3 linked regions of the Caenorhabditis elegans genome follow. The protein of the gene in region 1 interacts with the protein of each later gene in a pairwise test. Each region holds a gene or a part of one and is shown on either strand. Other genes may lie near its edges.

Region 1 (5,412 bases):
TTATTCAAAATTTTTTTTCCCAATTTTTTTAAAAACTCACATCTGCATACATTGCCACCCAAGTCCAGTGAATAAAGCATGACGATGAATTCACAGAAAACGCGGTCATTTTGCATACCCAGACGCCAGGAATTGTGTCTGTAAAAAACTACGTCGCTCCGAAATTCCGCTTGGTGGAAAATTAATTTTCCACCAAATTTAACCAAATTTTCTGGTTTTTTCCTAATTTTTGTTTAACTAGACACCGTTTTTACCTTATTTTCTTAGTTTTTCACTCAAAGAATCGCAAAACTCACCATAAATCACATCGCTATTCTCCACAATTACACTTGCCACCAAAGTACCCAAAAGTACAAAGTTCCCAGCTAAAATCGCACTGAAAAATGGCAGAAAATGCACATTTTTGCCAGTTTTGCCGTGAATATACAAAAAGCTTAGAAATATGATAAGTAGCGTGAAAAAACCAACGAAAAGTACCGAGTAGAAGAGGATTTGCGACGAGTTTTGCCATTCGTCGAGATAGGTTTGCTCATCGGTGAGCATTGATTGGTCAATGAAGGAGATCAGTGGGACTGAGATCGACATGCTGAAATTTTAATGTTTAGACTAAAAATTTGAGAAATTTGAGAAAAAACTATTCAAAAAACTGAATTTGTGGCTGTAAATCAAGATTTGTGATTAGAAAATTCGAATTCCTTGCCTAGAAAAACCTATATACCCTATCAGGGGGTCGAACCTGTGCCCTATTTCACCAAAGCCAAGCCACTTACCTACTGCGCCATATGGGAATCGCGTGGCAAAAAAGGCGCAGCGCGCGCCTAGCAGCATGGCGCAGTGGCTAAGAGGCTTACCTTTGGTAAAATAGGCCACAGGTTCGAATCCCATCGGGGGTACATATATTTTTTTAGGCGGAGAAATCGAATTGTTTACTTTTAAACTTAGAAAATCCACGTGGAAGGTGGAATTTTGAGTTAAAACTGTATACTTTTGACAGTTTCAACAATTTTTTTACAATATGCAAATCGAACTAAATGTTATGATCTCTGCAAAACCTTCATATTTGCAAATAATTTTTTTCAATGAATTTTTTTACTCAGCGTTTTTTACTTTCTCACTTAGAAAAAAATATATACCCTAGCAGGGGTTTGAACCTGTGACCTATTTCCCCAAAGGCAAGCCTGTTATCCACTGCGTCAACCCCTTCCTTCCTGGCTACTTCTCCGGAATTGCGCGCGCGCACGCATGGCTAAGTGAGTAAGAGGCTTGGCTATGGAAAAATAGGTCACTGGTTCGATTCTCAGGTAGGCTGTTTAGTTTTTTCTAGGTAAGAATTTGGAATTTTCATGGCTTGTGAGCTGAAAATTGGAGTTTTTAGCCATTATTTCTTCTTTTTTTCTAAAAAAAAGAATTTTTGAAGTCAATTTTAGTTTTCATATTTTAGAAAAATAGTCAAATGTACACCAATGCTTGAAAACTAGGAAAAAACTGAAAAATATCCGGAAGAGTGCTTGAAAGTGAAAAACAAAGGGATTAGTGGGAATTTTTAATTTTTTCGCAAAATTTTTCTCAATTTTCATAAACAGCTGTGCTAAAAATCTGGAAAATGCAGGAAATTGAATGTGCTCGGTGGGAAAAATTAGGAAACATGAATTATTCCTAAAAAGTAACAAATAATAAGCTAACACGCAATTATACACATTTTTTGCTGCTTTGGTGGCTTAAAAATGACGTAAATATAGCTTTTATTCAAACAAAAAAAATACATTTTTTCTAAAGATTGCGAAAAAAAAAAATTCTGGAAATTTTGAAAATTTCGAAAAAAATTTTTTTTGGAAAATTTGAAAATTCAATTTTTTTTTAATTTCAGGATTTTTGCTTAAAAACCCACAAAAATATGCTAACTCCAATTTTTATGCAATTTCCCTTCCTGAAAATCTAATTTTCCACTTAAAAACCACACAAAGAACACAAAGAAATCCAATTTTTTTTTTGGAAAAAAAAAAAAATTCTGAGATTTTCGCTCTTTTAGCCTATGCTGCATAATAATCCTAGAAAAATATCGGAAGCCTGACAAGAAGTTTCCAGAAAAACGTGACAATTTCAGCTTCCGGGGGGTTTCACACATTATTTTCTTTTCTCTGGCTATATTTTCGAGTTACATGGGAAAATGACAAATTTTTAACTAAAAGAAAGCAAAAAACAAATTTTTTTTTGAGAAAAGTGATGTGCAGCAAAAAATGCGGAAAATTTGGTTTTTTTTTAACTTTTAATTTTCCAAAAAACGAGGTTTTGCGTTGAGTTTGGCAATTTCAAATTCAAAAATTCGAATTTCTCACCTAGAAAAACCTGTATACCCCAACCGGGGTTCGAACCTGCGACCTATTTTTCCAGAGACGAGCCGCTTACCCACTGAGCCATGCTGGCAGGCGCGCGGTGCGCCACTTTTGCCACGCGGTTCCCATGTGGCGCAGTGGGTAGGTGGCTTGACTTCGGTGAAATAGGTCACAGGTTCGAGCCCCGAACTGGTTTACAGGTTTTTCTAGACGAGATTTTTGAATTTTTTAGTTTAAAACTCTGAAAATCGACACGAAATCGGGTTTGCTGATTTTTTTTTCGAACTTTTCATTTAAATTCCACCAATCTTTGGGTCTTCACAACCATAAATTTAATTTCCCGTAAATAAATTAGTTCTCCTTCCGAACCAAGCCACCAGCTGACACCAACGGCTGTGTTGCACTTCTCCCCGTCTCGCACCGTCTGCGTCTCCGCATGCTCTCTAACTCTCTCCCTCGGAGGCTGAATCCCAAGCCATCTGCTGTCCGCAGAGTGCTCATTCCTCACTTTTGTATTGATTTACTGAAAATTTGACGAGTTTTCGCCAGAATTTTGCTGGATTTTCACAAAACTTCCTGTATTTTCAGCCCAAAAATGTCTGAAATCTCCATAAAACGTGCACATGAAAACGAAAAAGATGCAGAGGAAGATATGGAGCCAGCAACTAAAAAAATTAAATCTGATGACGTCACAGAGGAGCAGGAGAAGCCTGAAATTGTGGAGAAAGCTGAAAAAGTGAAGAGCATGAAAAAGGAAGAAGCTGGCAGCCTGAAATGTGAGTTTTTGAGCAATTTTTGAAAAGAAATGGGTTAAAATAGACTGAAAATGGATGATTTTAAACTTTTTTCTAAAAATTAAAATTTTGAAAATTTTGATCAAAAAAAAAATTTTTTTTTGAAATTTCGAAAAAAAAAATGTTTGAAAAATTTACAATTTTTATTTTTTTTCCTATTCTTCATCAGAACATTTGAATCAAAAAAAATTCCAGCACCACCCAACGATGAAATGGAGTCAGAATTCACACATGTGCTCAATGAGCTCTCAAAACAGAAAGAGACTATCAAAAAACTGCTGGACGATTTGAGAGCGGACAATAAGAAAAGGAAGACACACAATATTAGAACGATTTTCCAGAGAAAAGATTGAAAATTTACTTTTTTTTTGACTATAAATATTTATTTTGCATATTTCAATTTTTTCAGTTTCAACAAAAACCGAACATTTTCAGAGCTTGCGACTATGAAATTCGAGTTTAGGAGAGTAGATATACCAAAGACAAATTTAAAAAAAAACACAGAAAAAAATTGTGCCACAGTGCGGACTCGAACCCCGGCCTTCAGATTGGTAGTCGTCGAAAATCCCACTGAGCCATTTGAGCATAATTTTTAAAAATCGCGGAACTACATTTTTTCAACAGTTTTTGAAATTTGAAAGACTTATCATTGAGTTTTCAAAGTTTTAGATACCTAAAGTTACTGGAATAAATAAAAATTCTCAAACTTTGATACTTGGAAATGAAATGTAAATGAAAATTGCTTCCGTGAGAATTCGGAGAAGTTAATGAAAAGCAACAACAACATATTACCTTAACATTTTTCCATCCAAAAAACCGAAAAATTAAACACCTTTTGTCAAAATTCAGTTCAAAAATAAGCTTTAAAAACTTTGAGATCTAAAAATTCAGATTTCTCGCCTAGAAAAACCTATTGTCACTCTCGTGGATCCGAACCCCCGACCATCTGCGCCAAAAACAAGCCTCTTACCCACTGCGCTGTAAGAGCACCGCGCGCGCAAGCTGCATGGCGCAGTGGGTAAACGGTTTGGCTATAGAGCAATAGGGGACAGGTTCGAACCCCCGGAAGGGTATATAGGTTTTTCTAGGCGTGAAAATTGAATTTTCAACTTTAAAATTGAAAAAAATCTACTTGAAGATCGAAATTCTCGAGTTTACCAGGGTTTGGCCTAATTTTTATGGTTTTTATTTGAAATTATTTGTAGAAGCCTGAGTGTTTTGAGAAAAACACATAAATTCCAAAAATAACTTGCAAAATAATTTCGTGGATTTTATGAATTTCACTGTTCCATTAAGTTTTAGGCAATTTAAAACCCAAAAATTCAAATTTTTCGCCTAGAAAAACCTGTAGCCACTCTCTGGGACTCGAACCCGCGGCCTTCTGCGCCAAAAGCAAGCCTCTTACCCACTGCGCCATAAGTGTACCGCGCGCGCCTGCTGCATGGCGCAGTGGATAAGAGGCTTGCTTTTGGCGCAAAAGGTCAGGGCTCGACCCCGAGAAGGGTATATAGGTTTTTATAGGCGGTGAATTCAAATTTTTTTGTTTAAAACTACCATTTTGAATGGAAAAGTGACTTTTTTCCAAAAAAAAAAAACTAAAATTTTTATATTTTCCAAGTTTTAAGTATTGAGTATAGGTTTTTCTCTGTGAGAGGTTCAAAATTCAAACTTACAATTTTCTACAAGTAGTCTGAGAATCTAAATTTTAAGCTATTCACCCGGGATCAGCAAATCAAATTTTCACGAGAAAATTGGTTCTGCCGGCGAAAACAGGTGAAGTTTTTTTAAAGAAAATTATACAAATATACAAATTTTGCAGGTGAAAAAATTGAAAAAAAAAAACGAAAAAAAAAATCATGAACCAGATCACTGAACTCCAGTCACATTTTTTTCAAATCTTGCAGTTTTTTGTCAAATTTCTCCAAGAAATTCCCAAAAATTTTCAGCAAAAAAATGCCGGCACCATGTCCTGAAACATTGCCTGCCTATTATATGCCTACCTTACATGTAATTGGTGCAATTTCGATTCCAATGAATGTTTTGGGATTTTATATGGTTTGGTTTCAGTCCCCAGGAATGCAGGGCTATAAGTATTGTCTTTGTTACATGCAGGTAAGGGGATTTAGGAGGATCATAGTATAAAAAATAGGCCCAAGGAGGTTAAAAATTTTAAAAATTTAAATTTGTATAAAATTTCGAAAAAAACAAATTTTTTTCGAAATTTCAAAAAAAAAAATTTTTTTTTCAAATTTTTTTTTTCAAATTTTTATTTGAAAAGTTCAAAT
Region 2 (7,373 bases), on another chromosome or scaffold:
AACAAAGAAAACCGGCGATTGGTTAAGACAGGCGAAGCGTTTTCCAGAGTATGAGGACTTTTTGTGCAATGGTGCCCAAACGCAAACAGTAGTGTGCCGCGGGGCCTTCCCACTCTTGGTCCCTTTTTTCCACGCGCTTGCAATTTTGCTTGTGCTTTGTCAGTCGGGCAGTCCGTTGCTTTTCTCATCCCTTCGCCGGAGGGGACGGACAGAAGCGACGTACATTGAAAATCGATGCGAGCACGCATGAGCACACAGATGGAGTTGCTCGATAGAAACGATGATGGACCTCCTTGCCCAACGGCGGTCCTGTGTTTTCAAAACCGACTTCTGGATATATATGGACACGACACACACCGACATACAAAGTTTTGCGCAGTTTTCTTGACTGCAGTCCACTCCTCTTCCACCCGTCCGTCACAGCTCACTATCAATTCCGTATGAAGAATATTAAAGAAAGTGAAGAGGCTGAGAAATGAGAAGACTGGTTTCGAAGTGGTCTTGTAGAATAACTCAAAAACTCAAAAACTTCAAAATTCACAAACTGACAGCTGTGTTCTAACCATTTTTCATCAGTTCTGTCAGTCAAAAGAAATGGGAAGAGAACAACGGTATTACAGTAAACTAAGATGGGCGACTAGATGAATGACCCTATCCTTCCCTCGGAACAGGTTAAGATCACTTTACACTTCTCCACACTGTCGTTTTCTTGTCTTTGGCGTCCCGACAGGCAATGAAGGAACGCCACATGGCAGTTGCTGCACATAAAAGTTTATGCGAGGAGTTGAATTGAGTTGAATTCAAAAAAAAAAAGAAAACAAGATGGTTCTTAGAATCCTTAGTTTGACAGTTCTAGTTTCAAAGATAAGATTTTATAAGAACAATGAGAATGAAAATAAAGAGAATTAGAAATGAAAGTATATAGGAAACAAAGTTTAACTCGTACGTTCTATTCTCAATTAAAAAAAAACTAATAAAACTAACCCGTGTCTGGAGAAATACTAAGCTCTCCTTTCAGCTCACGAACTACTTGCTGGAGTTGTTGGTGATTCAAGCTCAACGTTGATCCAAAATCAAAACCAAGGCTGATAAGAACAGACCTAAAAAAAGGTTTTTGTTAAACACTTTAAGAATGTGAAAATGATTAAAATTACCTACCTGTCACTTTCAGATGAAGCATCTTTTGGCAAAAGGCACATCTCCTCAGGTGTCTCTGAGACTCCCACGGATGGAGCGATCGTCTCCAGAATCTCTTTGATATCTTTTGGCGTAGGTCTAGATCTTGGTGTCACTGTATGTGTTGCCACAATCTTCGAAACAACTGGTGTCGGTGCTGATTTGGCGATTAAATTGTAGTCCGGATCTTCGAGTTCCATTTTAATCGTCCTCAGATTGTTGTTCACTGCATGATTGTTGTTGTTGTTATTATGACCGTTGCTACTCGCTAATGCACTAGATACTGTGATTACGGATGGTGTTGCAGTGGAGGTAGTTGGTGTTGATCCGTTTGTTGTTGGACCATTATCTTTGGTTACTATTTTTGGTGCTTTCTTTACAATAATATCATCTTTTGCTATTGCTTCGTTCTGCTCTTTTTTGTGATGTTTTAATATGTGTTTTGTTAAATTTCCTGGAAAATAATTGTTTTAATTTTATCAATCTAATCAAAAACTAACCTTTTAACCTACTGGATTTGCCACAAAATTTACAGACATAAGGTTTTAATGCTGTATGTACTGATCGATGCTCTGCTAAGTTGGACCGAAACCGAAAAGCTTTCCCGCATGTTTCACATATGAATGCCTGAAATTATTAATTCATAAAAAAGATTATACTTTGCTATGGGTATATGAAACCGGTCTGATCCTAGCTGAATATCTTGTTCGCGGATTATATAAGACATGAAGTCTCAATTTTTAATTTGTATTACAAGTCTATCAAGAACTGTAGTCCTAATCCCTAATCTCTTTCAAATACTTTTACATATGTCACACACAGGCACACATTCAATGACGTCATCCTTTTATCTTGTTCGTTTGATTGTTCTCACAACCAGCTTCTGCTCTTTTTCTATGGTTTTGTGGTTTTGCGATTTCAGATTGGTTTCAAATGAATCAAATCAGAAAAATGTGGGTCTGCGCGTACACACTGCGCACACAGAATCGAAATTGATTGAAAAATTTATTGCGCCCTTCTCTGGTACTCTCTATTGTGCATGCTTTTTCCAATGGGTTTCTACAGCTTTTCGAGTAAACGGAAAGGAAGGGGATAGGCAGCCATAAACAATCAACACTGGTCGGTTTTCATTACCGTCCGGCAGCAGCAGGCTGGGCTCCTTGAAAACGAGGAGGGCATGATGGTTCTAGTGTGTTTGCGTGGAGCACAGAAACGCAACACACGGATGATTAAATTTGCGTGGAATGGCAGCCACACGTTATTTCCCCGCATTTTCGTCTATTTCTGCTCATTCTATACTGACGGTCAAATGAGCATGATATATGGCTTTATTAGACGCGTCTTTCTTATCATCTTGATTTTGTCTACTTACTCGATCCATTCCCACTGGTGCATCGGTTGACTTCAATGAGAGGAGTACAGACTGAAAATGGAAATGGAACGTGAGAAAGAGTAAGCGGCGAAAAAGACAAGATAGTTCAACTGGAAAAAAACTAGGCGGAATATATCGCTAGAGCGGAAAATACCCCGTGCACCGACAAAAAGGAACAAGTAGATGACAGAGCAGCGCGACAAGATGCCGGAGGAGGAGCGAGGGACAAAGTTTCCGATGGCAAAATAGTAAGCAATGTGGGCGAGACGGACGGAAAACGATGCGATTCACCAAAGCATCTGGCCCCTATCTTTCTCCCACAAAACACAAAACTACCATTGAACCATCTGGGTGAAAATGAAAATGCGACTGCGATCAGATTATATATCGGAAGATGCGATGTTGTACAGTAAATGGATGAGATGACATTTTCGCAAAGATCAGGAAAAAGAGTGAACCGGAAAACCCCGCTGGTCCAGAGGTCAGGTGCCTTGCTGCGCTGGTCGTCTTATTTTCGATGAGAGAAAACAGGCAAGTATGTAGGAGAGGAAAATGAGCACACACCTCGTAAACAACTAGGTCCCGCCAATTCTGGAAGCAGTTAGCGGTGCACACCACTACTCTATGATCGAATGTCAACAGAACCACTACAGAAAAATCTAAAAAGCTTAGTGTCTTGCTTATATGTATCTATGTAATATTCTTAAGATTTTATTGTTTTGGTAAAATGTATCGTAATTAAAAATATCTCATTATATCTCATACCGGCTTCTGATGTCTTAGTTCAATCAAGGGGTTCTTCAAAAGTACATTCTTGTGGCAAAGCAGCTGAATAAGATTAGAAAGCGAGATCGAGCATGAGCAAAGGTGTGGTTTCCGTTGTCAAGGTCTACGTCCTAACTATTTCCTTTTTCTGTGCAGTTCACACAAGTGATTAATCTGGTGCACTTTCTGATAGTAGGATCAAAACTAAATGAGCTACCAGTCTACATAATAACATACTTAAAATTCTAATCTTGTCAGATAAACCGTGGATGCAATGAATATTTGAAAGTATAAATCAAATATTTAAAACTTAAGGTCAAAAAAGAGTATAAAACTCAATAAAACACTGAAAGACGGTACTACAGAGTGCATTTGTTAGATTCTTATGATAATATCTTATCTACCAAAGCGAACTATGCGCGCCAACTGCTGCAGTGTAACTGTAGAACTGTCCAATCGCTAACGAAACATACCGCCTGGCCTCTCTACTGGGCGAAATACGGTATGGGTGGGCAACTGTTGTGCAGTATCGTATAGGCTCATAAACTTTTGTGTTGCACAATCGAATGGAATACACAATCGAATGGAATACGACAGATATGGTTTATGGAACAAAATACTCTCTGATCTTCTAATACAATTATAATATGACTCTCGCTACTGGGAAAACTACTCTAACTTGATGTTCTAGAATTGTACTTATATTCATCAAAGTGCGCTGCCTATCTGATGCGAGATTTTCATAATCGAAAAGTTAGCGCACAAAAATAGAAAATGAGCGAATTTGGCCTATTGGATCAGATAGCGACAAATAAGACAATAAAAACACATAAAAATGATGCAAAACTGTGACTCACTTTATCGGTATGAAACATTTGCTGATGTTGTTGCAAGAGTTTTGTACTTGAAAATGACTTCGGACACTGAGGACATGTCAGACTCTCTTCTGTCATCAGAATCGTTGCTTGTACTAGCGGTGATACGCACACAGACATCCAGGATGGTCAACGACTCTGTTTTCTTTAACGTCAGCTTTTCTTCAACCTGTGCCAACGTTGATGTTTTGTGAATAACGATTTAGTGAGTATGATTGGAGTGAAGAGAGGGACCCTGTCCACAAAATAGATGGGTGCCAGGAAAAGGTAAAACGTGCTCCTGGTAGAAGGAGACGATGAAAAGGACGGACGGAGGGGGGAGGAGAGTGCCGACCGATCGGACAGGACGGGCGCACAGAGAGAGGGGTGGGGCTCCGAGCTATTCCTAAGGGGTGGAGCGACAGAAAACGCCGGAGCCGGAGAGAGCTCAACTCGTGGACGTGGAGGGCACGGAGCTCTACAGTGAATAGAAGGGTGACCACGTCTTCTTTTCCAAACAGGGAAGGCGCTCCACGACGACGATGTGGACGATAGAAAACGAAAGACAGGCAGGGGACGTGGAGGCTCCGCCCTATTTTGCATAACGTTCTGGCTTGCTATGGGGTGCCTACTCAGTATCCCGAGACGAGTCTTGAAGCTCTCTCTGATTCATGCGGTCACTCGTCACTTGGCGGTCTGTCTACAGCTAGCTCGTTTCCTAGTCGGAATGGGAGTGTGGAGCGAGTGAATGTGTTGGTCGAGGAGAAGCAGCACCAGAGCTCAAGCCTTTTCCGCCGAGCACACTGTGCCAGCCGGATACGGCACAAAACTATTCATTATTCGGGATATTTCCTACAAATGAACATGGATACAGAACTAGATTTTTGCAAACGGGTTTCATTTTTGTATTTGAAGCTAGCTATCAAAACTAAATCCGTTTAATAAAATTACTTGATTCAATTTTCATGTTTCAGCTTGTCTCACAAACACATTATTACACTCTCAAACTTAATTTAATATAACTAATAAGAAACTATACTCAACAGCGTAAAACATCTGGGCGAAGAAATTGCTTTACAAAAAAACTCATAATATTTCATTTCTAGATTTCACAAGATCTGTCAGTAACAAAACGAAAAGAAAACCGACAAGAAGAGAGGAGGGGGAGTTTTGGCGCGGTAGATGAAGAAAACATGACGATGACAGTTGGCGAAAACAGGCGAGCAGGTAAATTGTACACAGTTGCCGTGCGCCGTAATCACCAAAAAAATCAATGAGCGGATAGAGAGGGAATAGACACAAGATAGTGAGCCTGTGCGGTTGAAAACTGACACCCATTAGAAAACCCGCAAAAACGGAAAGCTGTAACGGACGATACGAAAGATGTTGGAAAAATACAAAAAATCTGACTGGTGTATGTTGCAACATGTGGTTCGTGTTTACGCTTCTCAGTAAACCTGTGAAGAGGTCACCGGCCTTGACTGAACACTCGACCGTACGTACTTTTGTAAAATAATGCCGCTGTTTCAACAAAATTCACAATATAAAACTTTTATTTTTAATACTGAAAAAAATTCCCACCAAAAAAAAGATCAACTGCGTAGTCTATCTCATGACTGTCATGAGCATAGTGCATGCCGCGGCGCTTGTCACTAACCATTTCTGCTTCTACTTTTCATTTCCTTTCTCTTCTCCTCTTTCCACTCCCATTTTCACATTTCCAATTTGGAAACCAAACAGCGGTAAAATAAAACGTGTGCTAAGGGCTTCATCCTGTATGTCAGTTTGTCGTGTCCCTTCTTGCAACACTTATCCATCGCACCGTGTAGGCGGATCTGGACGTGACAAATTGGTGAGACCTGGTGAAGCTAGAAGAAGAAAAATATTCAAAGGGGAATGAAGAGACGAAAGAGCAGGCGAATTGTGGAGACATTCTGAAATACAGATAAACTATGTGTTTATGCTCTCTCTCCACTTTCTTTTTTCACTCGTTTTGCTTCTCTCGCTTGTTAGTCTCTGCTGTCCGGCAAGTCCGACGATAAACATGTTGTGATCTATCAGCTTCACTGATGAATTCACCAAATCTACAATTTGACCAAATAGGAAGTGGTCGATTTCAGTCAGAAAAAGGGATTTAGAAGATATTAATCATGTATTGTTGAAGACTATGTGTCTAATTCAGTGCGAATTGTTTATTTTACGGCATGAATTTACTCTCAAAATTTATCAATTAACATTTTGAAATCCTAGAGGTGGGACAGCGCCAGTGGGTAAATTGTTAAAAACTCAGTTGGCAAAATATCATAGTAAAATCTTTTCAGAATTTTTCAGAAAATTATATATTTTGTTTCAAAAAATGGTAATCAGTTTTTTTTTGGTAGTCGTTGATAATAAAATATCCTCAAATTTTATGGTCTGCTTATGTTTCAAATAATAATATTCGAACATTGTAGCAATTCGAAAATGCAAAAGTGCAAAAGTTTCCTCATTTAAAAAGTGGCAAAAACTCAGTAATTGCTAATTTTTTTGACTGTCAATAAAAATGTTTCCTTTTTTTTTTTGAAAAGTTTTACTATGATATTTGGTCATTTTGGCACTATATAATTAATTTCAACAAATTTTCACTGGTGCTAATTCATTTTTAAATTGAGGAACGAACTAAAAATTAAGAAGTTCTAGTGAAAAACCTTTCGAAACCATTTTTCTTTTCAAAAATTCTCGCACTTCTTTTCCCAATATGTCGGTTTCCTTTTCTTTTCCGGAGACACTGCTTTTCCCTTGCCATTCTTCTCACAAAAACCGATGCGCCGTAATCTTCCAGAGTACTTGTCGGAAAGTAAAGCTTTGATGCAGGCAGGGACCGAGTAGAGGAGAAAACGACAGGGAAGCGAGATGCCCCCGCGTACACCCACGAAACGATTCTAATAGCCGGTCCGTCTCGGAAAAGTTGAGTTCTCTTCGTTGGCGGCCCAGGCACGACCTCCCCAGAGCTAGGCAATTGTCGACAGGCAGAGACGATTGCAGTGAGCAATCACATGATGACAGGCTGACTGGAGCATTGTGGTTATCCATACTCTGGGATTAGTAACAAAAACACTGCCAAAAACAATTCTAATCTTTTTCTACTTTTTTCAGTTTTTCAAAACCGAAAAACCATTCCTAATGTAAAACAATTTTCAAGTATATTCTTAAGAGAAGGGCATCAG
Region 3 (10,486 bases), on another chromosome or scaffold:
AATAATTACTGCGTTCAGTGTTTTAACTGTTCTACGAATTTTCTTTTTGTTAAAAAAAAATTATATAAAAGTTTCTCATATGTTTCAAATTTCCAAGTGCCACTTAAACTTCTTCACCTACCCAACTGACCACTACCTATTATTTCCCCCCAATTCAGAAGTATTTTCTCTCTCTTTTTTCCTCTATATTCACCTCAAAAACTAGTAGTCGTTGTATTTGGGCAAAATGTCCTTTCCGTTCTTCTGTCCACTACCACCACGAATACCCTCAACACTCACTTTATTCCATTCATTCTTCCCGTTTCGACGATTCGATTCACACATAAATTATAGTATACATACTTGAACCAAAAAAATGGAAACGGGGAGGAACGGGTTCGGATGAATGACTTTTCACACTCCTTTTCCTTGAGAAATGACAAATTGGAAGACTCTGTGAGCCAAGATAGGCGGAGCTTCGAATTATTCACCAACTTTCTTATTTCTTTCTTAGAAATTCGTTTCTTAAATTTTTGATCTTGACAGACAGCTGAATAACCTAGTTGATTATGGGTATCACGTTCTGTTATCACTATGGTTACTTTATTTTGTTTTTCTTTTTTCTTCCACTTGGCGTCACAGCCGCTATAAAATTTATTATTCTAGCAGTTGGCTCACTTCTTCATCTAGATCATGAAAAAGTGCTTCTTTTGTTGGTTCACACATTCAACTTTTTGTCATTTTATTTAGACCGCATTTTGCCACAAAAAAATTACAAAAGTCGGATAATTTGTCAATGTTCTACAACGCATCTATTATTTAAATTTGTATGCTTGTTTTTCTAAAAATTCGAATTCCAACCTGTAATCACTCTAAAAATACCTGAACATTGAAGCATTGGAGCATTAACTTCCTCTAAAAAATGGCTTATTTTCCCCTATTTCTCTATTTCTCTCTCGCGTTACCATTCATTTTTTATATTTCTCACCTGATATTTGCTCTTGTACCGGTAGTTCCAACATGTACATACACATTCATTTTACAGTCTTCCTCGCACATTTTAACAGTTTTCCTTTCATATACGAATTCCTCCATCTTTTTCAAATTCCCTTTTTATTTTTTCAAACCGTCGTCCTTTTTATAGCTTTCCCACTTTCTTCCAAATCAAATTTTGAAATATTTCAGAGTTTAACTCTCAATCAAATCGAAACGAACGATCTTCTAAAACATCATTGGGCTCCTGAATCAGAACCACGACAGCGTCATGACCGACGTGTATGAGTCGCCTGCCCGCGAGGTATGATTCTTTTTTCCTTCATAATTTTGCAAAAAAAATGGTATCTATTTTTGAAAAACTAATATTGACTAATTTTCTATTAGGCAGAACACTGCTCATCTCCTAATATTTGTATGACGGATTGTACTGGTATTTTTATATGTTTTGACAAGGCTTCCCAATTTACAAAAACATAAAAACAGCTAGCTATTAATAATGAAAAATTGTTTGGATCTATATTTGTTGAAAATATTTTTTACTGACATTGAAATTTCAAAAGTTGTCAAATTGTAAATGCTCATCGTTTGCAAGACTATTCTTATTGTATGAAAAAGTGAGAAGCTGCAAAATTCCATTCAACAAAAAAAACTACTAACATTTTAATATTTTCAAGACTCCAAACTGTAAGAAAATCTAGCTCCACACTCAAACTAGGCCATGTACGTAAAACTAGTATAATTTACAGTTGAGTCATGTAACATGTATTCATAGTTGCATTCATTTGACTCATTTACCTCGTTCTCCCCCTCCCTTCCCATTTCCTTCAACTCTGTTCAGTTTCCCGAGTACACATTGAATCTACCTGCTCCTGAAGCTGCGCCTCTCATCCTCTCGGGCTATTTTCCATTCCGTAAAAGTAACTTGAGCCTTGTTCACATAACAACAAAATGCGGGGCAAGATAGAATGTTCGCATTTCAATTGTACTAGAGACCTTTATCTTCAAAGAATAGTTTTGGTTTTTTTTCCTGTTTCGTAAAGTGGAATGAGTGTTGTCCCCAATCCATCTCAAATTATACTTCATCTTACGCTCATCCACTTTTCACCCACTTTTCAGACTCTTTAAATGACCATCCTTTTCTCTTTTTCCTTTTATTCTTATAACAATAGACGTGATTCTTTTAATTTGTGGATTTGCCGGTGCCGCTCCTAATTACTGTATACTTCTCACTAATACTAAAGTTTAGCAATTAAAACTATTAACTCAAAAAGAAGTAAACCTATTTTCAAAGCATTCTTCCCAATTCAGAGTTGATGAAAAGCCACAAAACAATGGGATCACTCGAAAAAATGTGTTTCGAAGAGCCATGCATTTTGAGCTCTTAGAGCTAAATCACAAATCATTGAAGGTTCTATGTATGAACATTGAATAAATCATTTCGATTTAGGGAGACTATACGTTCAACTTCCTCTTTGTACCAACTTCAGTATTCGCTACAGATTTTTGGTTCCTTGTTTCACTATTGAAAATTTTAATGTTTCCAATTTCTTCTACAAGAAACATCATGACCCCATAATTCACTTCCTAATCGTCTAATCATCTCCTCTTATCACAAGAATTACTTGGGTGTGACTGGTCATTTGAAATAGCTTTGCAATTGTTTTTTCTTTGCTTCTCGAAACCCGTCAAAAAACTATCGATTAATTGCGCTCAATAGAAGACGTACAAAACAAGTGAACACATACAATGACTATCCAAAAACCGGATTCGCTTTCCCTCTCTTTTCACTTGTGATTTCGCAATTCTTTCATCTTCAACGTCTTCTTCTTCGGTTGTTTTTTGTATTGAGGGTTTACAACCTCAACCTGATGACCGTGGCTGAAAAGATAAACTGGCAAAATTGAAGAGACTAGTTGAAGCTAGAGAGACGCAGGCCTGAAAGTTGAAGAAGGCGGTTCGAAATTGATAACAGTCTCTTCGTTTTCTCATTTCTTCTCAACACAGTACAATTTGCCGCATTCACTCGTCTGCTACTATTACCTTCTGAACTATTGATTTGGTGGCATTCTGTCACTCATTTATTTCTCCAACAATGACTACTGAATTCGTGTCAGAAGAGGAGTCCAAGTATGCGGTAAGTACTCTACAATATTGACATTAACGGAGGGAAATTGATTCCAATGGGGTTAAGTAAAGTCAGTCATACAAGTTTGCACTTTAGTGATTTTCTAGGCAGCTTCACAAAATAGCATTAAAAAATGCATTTTAAACATCTAATCGTTTTTTCATCAGAAACATGTGAATTTCCAGAGCCTTCTCCTTACCATTTTACATAAAGGGCGGCGATCTTTAACCAAATTTTTCTCATTAACGATGATATTGTTTTTTTAAATAGCTGAAATGTTGAAAATAATACACCTGAAAAAGAATCCTTCAAATTATTCAGCTTTCACAATAAATAAGGACAGTTTATTTTATTTATGCTTCAAGGGACACCACATTTGCTTCTTTTGATTTGTTGTATGAAAAAATCTAAAAACGGTTCTATCAATCTTTTTTGAATGCATTTCATGCGACAGTAACCTTTATAATCGTTCATATTTCCCTCATGTCAATTTCAATGTCCTCCACTTTTTTCCACCTATTTGGGACAGGGATGAGTCACTGAAAAACTGTCTTCCCACCTTTGAAAAGACCATCCCCTACAGTGTTTGCTCGCCGTCTCTAAGTCTCTCCAATTTGTGTACTCTATTCCAAGTGAAGCTTTTCCACTCGAAAACCGTATTTCGATACACTCCTTTTTCTTTCTCAGATGCTGAAGCTGAAGACCCATGTTCTTTTCCTTTTCTATGACATTATTCTAGCACATAATTATAGTGTCAAAAAAGGGAGAAGTGTCTAGAATTCACATGTCACGTGGAACATTATTTCAGTTTTCACCTAGAAGTTCCCACCAATTTGTGTTGTTTGTCAAACAACTTTTGTTGATGATCTCTGATGATCTACTCTGAACTCTGTATTTTTTTTCTGTCTAAAACGTCATAGGAAATGAGTCAGTTGCCACGTCACAATAAAAATGGGAAAAGTATCGGAATTTTTTGGTTCTAATCTATTTGTTTTTCGTGTAAGAATGCTCATCGTCTTGTCGATCTTTTGATAGGAAGGGAATATAAAAAATAAATAAAAACAACTTGAGAATTCAACAGCTGATTTTTTCCACAAGAATTGACTAAATTTATAGCTATATAAAACGAACTGCCATATTGGAATACAAAATCTCAATTTTTGACAAACGTGATAAAGAATACGGTCAAATTTGGCAAACTTGCGGTATTTTCCTATCAACAACTTTGTTTGTGGAATTAATTTTTCAGGTTTCAATTGCATAATCTTTATATTCCGTTAGCATCAAATTCAGCGCAATTTTTTACGTCACACGGTTTTCAGAGCTATAAAAGTTTTAATATTTTTAAAAATGATCTTTTATAATTTCTAACATAATCATTCTCTTTTGAAAACTTGAATACAGTTTCAGAGAATTTCAAATTTTTAGAAAAATCATTTACATGAATTATTTATGGAGAAAAAGTTATCTGCAAATTTTACCATCTACATGTTGTTTCCATTAATAAAATGTACGTCTGTAAATTGATTCGCGCACGTTTCTAGTGAAGCTTCATGATGTAGTCCGGTTCCTGGTAAAATCCCAACAAACCACTTACCGTAATCCTCACGCACTTTTTTCTTCTTCCACTGTCCATTTTCTTTCCTCAAAAAAGCCTTGCAAACCGTTCGAGGCTTTTCCGTGTGCCGCTCTTTGTTATCCACTCGTTTTTCGTCATATTTCTCTTCATCTTTTCCACGCAAAAAACGTTTGTCTATTCTGTATGCTTATGTATGTTTTTGTTCTCTTCCGGAATATAGATGAACAGAGAGAGGCAGAGAGAGTCCGCGGAAAACCGTCGGCGGAACGACAAATACGTCGTTTTCCGGACAAGGCAGCCTTTTTGCCGCAATCGTCATTCCCGTCACTTGATATCTCTTGTATTGCCCGAGTTTAGTCTCTTTTCAAAAAGAGGTGAACACTGTCGTCAAGTATTCCCAGTTCTGTGAATTCATTATTTTTGTTATTTCTTTCTTTTGATAATTAGAAGCTCGAATGTTCCAACTATACGAGGTGAGATTTTAGATATCTAGATCACGCAGTCTAAGTCTTGTTTCAAGCATTATTTTTGCATTTGAGACTCAAAATATAAGACTAGATGGTGTACGGTTTAATCGAAAATTATGATATTGAAACTCCAGACACTAAGAAACTACTATCTACTTTATCAAATTTTTGAGCAATTATCGAATGATTTTGATGATAGAAAGCGCCAGTAGAAAATTCTATAAAACCTTCTTAACTGACCAAATACAGTTGCAAAATTTGAACTGAAATTTTTGGACTGAATTACCATGATCAGTGTACTTCAAAAAATTCCAACTGATACAACTCCACTTTCAAATTATATCGTCCAAATAACATTTATTTATTTTCTACGCTCATTTTCTGTCTTTCGTTATTTCCAAAAATCGAAAACTTCAGCAGGGAAAATTGTTCTCCTCGCTACTATTTCTGTTCAACTAAAACTGATCTCTCTGATCCGTTAATCTCTCATTTTCCGGTGATTTCACACTCTGTGTGCCGTGGTCTCAAATGTCGTTGTTAGAGATTTTTGAACTTTTCTATTGAATCATCTGTTTCAGATTTTTTTTCTCATTTTTGTTCCTCTCTGTAATGACAAAGCTCGTAATGACGTGAAAGGTTTCGGTTCCATTATGAGTCAAGAAATGAAGTGCTTGTTCCCTCCCGCCCCCTCTCTGGAAAAGTGAAGAAATTGAGTCATTCCGAGCAATATCTGCGTCTCTTATCACTCTTATCGTCGCCTGCTCAGGTGGCACAGAAACTTGTCAGAAGAACATGACAAGACATGACATTTTATGAGCTCTTTTCTAACATATTTGTTAGAGGGGAACTTTGTTTTAAAACTACAACGTCCTTCGAGTACTTAGGTATTTAGTTTCATTGACTCACATCATTCTACATTTTTTTAGCTCTAAATCCCACGTGCGTCATTTCATAGCGTCTGCTCTGTCCGTATCCATAGAAACCGCGAGGAGCGGCTCAGTAGAAGCAGGGACAGCTTAAAAATAAATATTATTCGAGGCTGAAGAGATTCAGAGTTCGGTGTTTCGCAATCCGCTCCACCTCTATTCTCCCACCTCTTTTAATATTTTTTGCCTAGTCACCACTGCCACACTTCAAAATTGAAGAATTCCAGAAAGAGCATTATCTGATTGATGTGAGTTTTGAGTTAATACATATAATCTTTTTGTAATTGTATGTTGTAATTGTATCCTTTAATTAGCAAAAATTGGTAAAAAACAAATTTGAAATCGTCTTCAGATTTAAAAAAAATTTATGATACCTATGAGTAATATGTTCTGAAAATGATCTTCAAAGAAATTTTAATTTGATATAATCAAATTAATTTAGTTTAATCTTGTCTCTAATCCCATGTTTTCCACTCCCTAAATCGGGGCAATTAATCCGGGTAGACCAGTTCAAATCCCTTAACAACTAGAATTTTTCGTTTTTGCCTTGTTCGTCATCTCTTTTCAAAAAAAAATAGTTGAACGAAAAAAGTGCTTGTAAATACGACATAATGCTCTTCTTTCTAACAATAGCTGCTAGTACTCCAACTAGAGCATTGGGCTTCACAGGAAGTGAGCACAATTTGAGCAGCTGTGCCAACCTGGCTTCCGTTGGCCCCCACATACGCCACCTTTCCCAATTTTTTTTTACTTTTCCAGCTTTTTTGGAGGAATTTTTCAAAGAATTAAAAGAGATAAGATGGAAGAACGGAACTAGAAAATGTTGAGAAGATGCTAATTTGATACGGTTTCCGCTTGTTCCATCCATTTTTCCTCCTCCTTCTTTTCTATTCTTCTCCACTCATTCTCGATCAGTCAATCACTTCTAATTTCATTTACATTTTCGTTCGTTTCCTATAAATTCTAAAAGAAAGACAGAAAATATTCACTTATTTGAAACGCTAACTAATCCATAATTCATTTCCAGGACTCGCCTATGCGATTACAAGGCAGCTCGGCGAGCAGCGCGTCGGTCGCTTCCAGGTTATACGGAACACGGTCTCGTAGAGATAGTCTTGGTGGAAGCTCTTCAGAAAGTGATTTAATTGCATTTGGAGGTGATCAGGACGCTCTCAACGATTTCAGTTCACAAGTGAGTTATCAAGTAAAATGTAAAACATTTAAAAATTATTTTGAATACATTGGAAATGTACAAAAATAAATATTTTAACGTGCTTTCCTTATTCGATGGATTAAAGTTTAATTAATCATTTCAAATTAAAAACATTTCTTTGTAATCTTGTTATGGAGAATAGATGTCTACTTGAAGCAGTGAGCATTTTGTGTCAAATTCCATGTACTATTTTACAAATTCTATCATATTCCAGATGAACCAGCTCAACTCATTCACGAAGCGTTATTCGGAGCTCGAGGAGCGTAACATGTCCCTCTCGGATGAACGTACCCGCCTCAAAACTGAAAATTCAGTGCTGAAAGAACGAATGCACAATTTGGAGGAACAGTTGACTGATAATGAGGATCGATTCAAGCAATTGCTCTCCGATGAGAAGGCACGTGGAACTGAATCAATGTCAAGGTTGAAAAGAGAAAAAGAATTGGAAACTGAAAGTTGGAATTTGAAATATCAAATGCTTGAGAAAGATTTGATTTCTGTGAAAAAAGATGCTGAAAGATCAAATGAAGAAACAAAGAGAATTCGAAATGAATTGGAGAAGACTGAAAATAAACTTGAAGAAGCTCAACTTCTTGTAGAAGGAATGGAAGAAGAACGAATTCAATTGGAACGACAATTCAGAAAATTCAAAGAAGAAGCTCAGCAAGATATTGATTCCAGCAGTGAAATGGTTGAAGTGTTGGCTTTGGAAACAGAAGAATTAAGGAGAAAAGTAGATGGTCCCCGATCTGAAAGTATCTCTGATCGTGAAGATATGCACGAAGAGATTGAAATTTTGAAAGCCAAAGTAGCAGAACTAATGAAAGAAAAAGAAGAAATGACTGATCAATTATTGGCTACTTCTGTAGAACGGGGAAGGTGAGTTGACATTCCAAAGTTTTCATTCAAAAACATTTTTTCTTCAGATCTCTCATTGCCGATACACCGTCACTTGCTGATGAACTTGCCGGTGGTGATTCTTCTCAGCTTCTAGATGCTCTTCGTGAGCAGGAAATCTGCAATCAGAAGCTTCGAGTCTACATCAATGGAATTCTGATGCGTGTCATTGAGAGGCATCCAGAAATCCTTGAGATCGGAGAAGAAGGTGTAAGTGGAATTTTACAATATTCTTTGAATTTAAAAAAAAAGTCGTACTCGATCTTGTCCAGCCTGATTGTATTTTTTTCCAGGAATCCTCTCCAAGTTGACGGTGCGCCGGAGAATCTCAGTCCTCGCCAACGTCGTCGTCATCATCGATTCCAGAAGAGTCATCATCACCGACACTTTCAGCAAGAATCTCCGCCTACCTTCCCTCATCGTTTCTTCGATGGGGATGAATAGACACATGACGTCATCAACGATTGGCACTCAATTCCTTGTGACGTGGCATGCAACATTTAGTCTTTTTTTTTCTTTTCTCCATCCCTGTGATTTTCAAAATGCTTTACTTCAAATGTTTCTTTGTACAATCTCCTCGTTTTTAGTCCCCTTTACCCCCTCCAACAGTATTTTCGAATTGCGTGCCACGTCACAGATAGATCCCGTTAACGGGTAAAATACCATCCATAATATGTACATCTGAGACTGAGATCCCCCTCCGACCCCCCATTTTTTCTGGACCTTTTTACCCCAGTGATACACACATTTTTTTTTGTTTCAAAACTTCAATTTGCCCAACGATAATTTTCCATTCGCACCCCATTGATGATCCATACATTTTGTGATATATAGCATTTTTCTGCCCATCATTTTTTCCGACTTTTCCCCCCTCGAATATTTATAATTTATATTCATGTGTTTGTATTTTCCGTCTGTCTTTTCTGAAAATTCTTGTCATTTTCATGGTTAGTGATAGTTCTTCTCTTCTTTCCGTGCCGATCACCAATTTTTGAATTCAATCGAGCTTTTTATTGTTGTTTCACTAAAATTTCTGTCTGTGTAAGAAGAGTTTAAAAAGAAGAAGAAGATACAAAAACGAAGAATAAACATGCATTTTCTCAAAACCATGCATTTTGAATGGAAACAGAACAAAAAAATTTATAAAGGGAGAAGATGAGACATGCAATACTTCTTCATCAACTGAGTATTATACAAGAATTCAACTGGTCATTTTCATTTTGGAAATAATCATGTCTATCGTTTCTTTTCTACGGAGCCTGCTGATTTTCAAACTTTCTTTTAACTACGTATTCCAAATATTTTACAGTTTTTTTTTATCTACCGAGAAACTGTTTTTTTTTAACTATGTCCTGAACTATATTTTGGAAAACGCAGTCATATTAGTATCGTTAAATTTTTGCTCATTGACATTTACAGAACTGAGCTCCAATTCTGCATCGTTACCTGTTCCCGTTTTAGGTTTTTTGTGATGTTTTTATATGCGTCGTTAGATTCTTTAAATCAGTTGAATAGGGAAGGGTGTGGGCGTTTTGCGTGTTCCTCAACAGGAAACCAGGAAAAATTGGTATTAAAAAATGAAAAATCCTGAGTTGCATGTCAAACTTTTTATTCGAACAATCTTTGTGTTTTCACAGATTATTTTGTTCTCACAATCAGAAGTAAATTACCGTTTCAAATAAATATTTTTAATTCTGAATCGATTGGCGTTGCTCAATTATTAAGAAGAGCTGGCTAAACTTGGCCTTTCGTTGAGCCTTCTCAGAATTAATATTGTCGATAAGAACTTATTATGAAAGAACTCAACCAAATAAGGTTGCCAATTGTGAACAATGATTATGATCAAGATTTGCTTACCATTAGAACATGCACGTTGCTTATTTAACTTATAAACTTATCACCAACGTTTTCTTCTCTAAAGTAACTTTCAATCACAACTACTAACTTCATTTCACCTGCTGTTTTCCGTTTATCTTGAAAAAATGGCTTGTCTCTAGTCTTATGACTTACGGAATTGGGCAGTAAACAAGTGAATGGAAAACAAGAGAGCTGTAGTATTTTGTCTGTACAATAAACCAGAAGCTATCAATTATTGAAAAGCGTCAGTGGAAGGTGATTGGAGTGACTGAAAGATTGTTATTAGAGCTTTTGAATAAATCGTTTTTGCTCTCAAGATCTCTGAATGTTTTGGTAAACATCAGTCCTGATCGAGAATTAGTCCCTGCACGCAAAACTAGTAAAGAAAATATAGTATCATGAATTGGCAGCGGGTAAGTTTAATTAAGACACTTCTTGTCCTGAAAG

What was found. The genes of interacting proteins can lie anywhere in the genome.
Region 2: the proteins of C54E10.6 (region 1) and syd-9 interact in a two-hybrid assay, tested with the Caenorhabditis elegans proteins (one large-scale study listed by BioGRID).
Region 3: the proteins of C54E10.6 (region 1) and rfip-1 interact in a two-hybrid assay, tested with the Caenorhabditis elegans proteins (one large-scale study listed by BioGRID).

Annotation. Positions count from the first base shown.
Region 1 is NC_003283.11:18,806,178-18,811,589, reverse strand, and holds C54E10.6 (Protein MNN4-like), read left to right. Parts: upstream 1-2,860; 5' UTR 2,861-2,928; coding exon 2,929-3,109; intron 3,110-3,322; coding exon 3,323-3,480; 3' UTR 3,481-3,521; downstream 3,522-5,412. Other genes in the region: C54E10.3 (G-protein coupled receptors family 1 profile domain-containing protein), read right to left, coding at 41-138, 297-585; sri-10 (G protein-coupled receptor), read left to right, coding at 5,081-5,239.
Region 2 is NC_003284.9:7,215,403-7,222,775, reverse strand, and holds the start of syd-9 (Zinc finger protein syd-9), read right to left. Parts: upstream 4,507-7,373; 5' UTR 4,309-4,506; coding exon 4,171-4,308; intron 2,600-4,170; coding exon 2,549-2,599; intron 2,433-2,548; exon of another isoform or gene 2,201-2,432; intron 1,804-2,200; coding exon 1,677-1,803; intron 1,631-1,676; coding exon 1,159-1,630; intron 1,101-1,158; coding exon 985-1,100; intron 287-984; exon of another isoform or gene 28-286; intron 1-27. UniProt on the Caenorhabditis elegans protein: Plays a role in regulating synaptic function, probably by modulation of endocytosis. May be dispensable in muscle for normal locomotion. May be involved in post-transcriptional mRNA processing, in parallel with unc-75.
Region 3 is NC_003280.10:5,883,388-5,893,873, forward strand, and holds rfip-1 (FIP-RBD domain-containing protein), read left to right. Parts: upstream 1-2,980; 5' UTR 2,981-3,067; coding exon 3,068-3,109; intron 3,110-6,072; exon of another isoform or gene 6,073-6,320; intron 6,321-6,736; exon of another isoform or gene 6,737-6,876; intron 6,877-7,099; coding exon 7,100-7,264; intron 7,265-7,499; coding exon 7,500-8,164; intron 8,165-8,211; coding exon 8,212-8,390; intron 8,391-8,475; coding exon 8,476-8,840; downstream 8,841-10,486.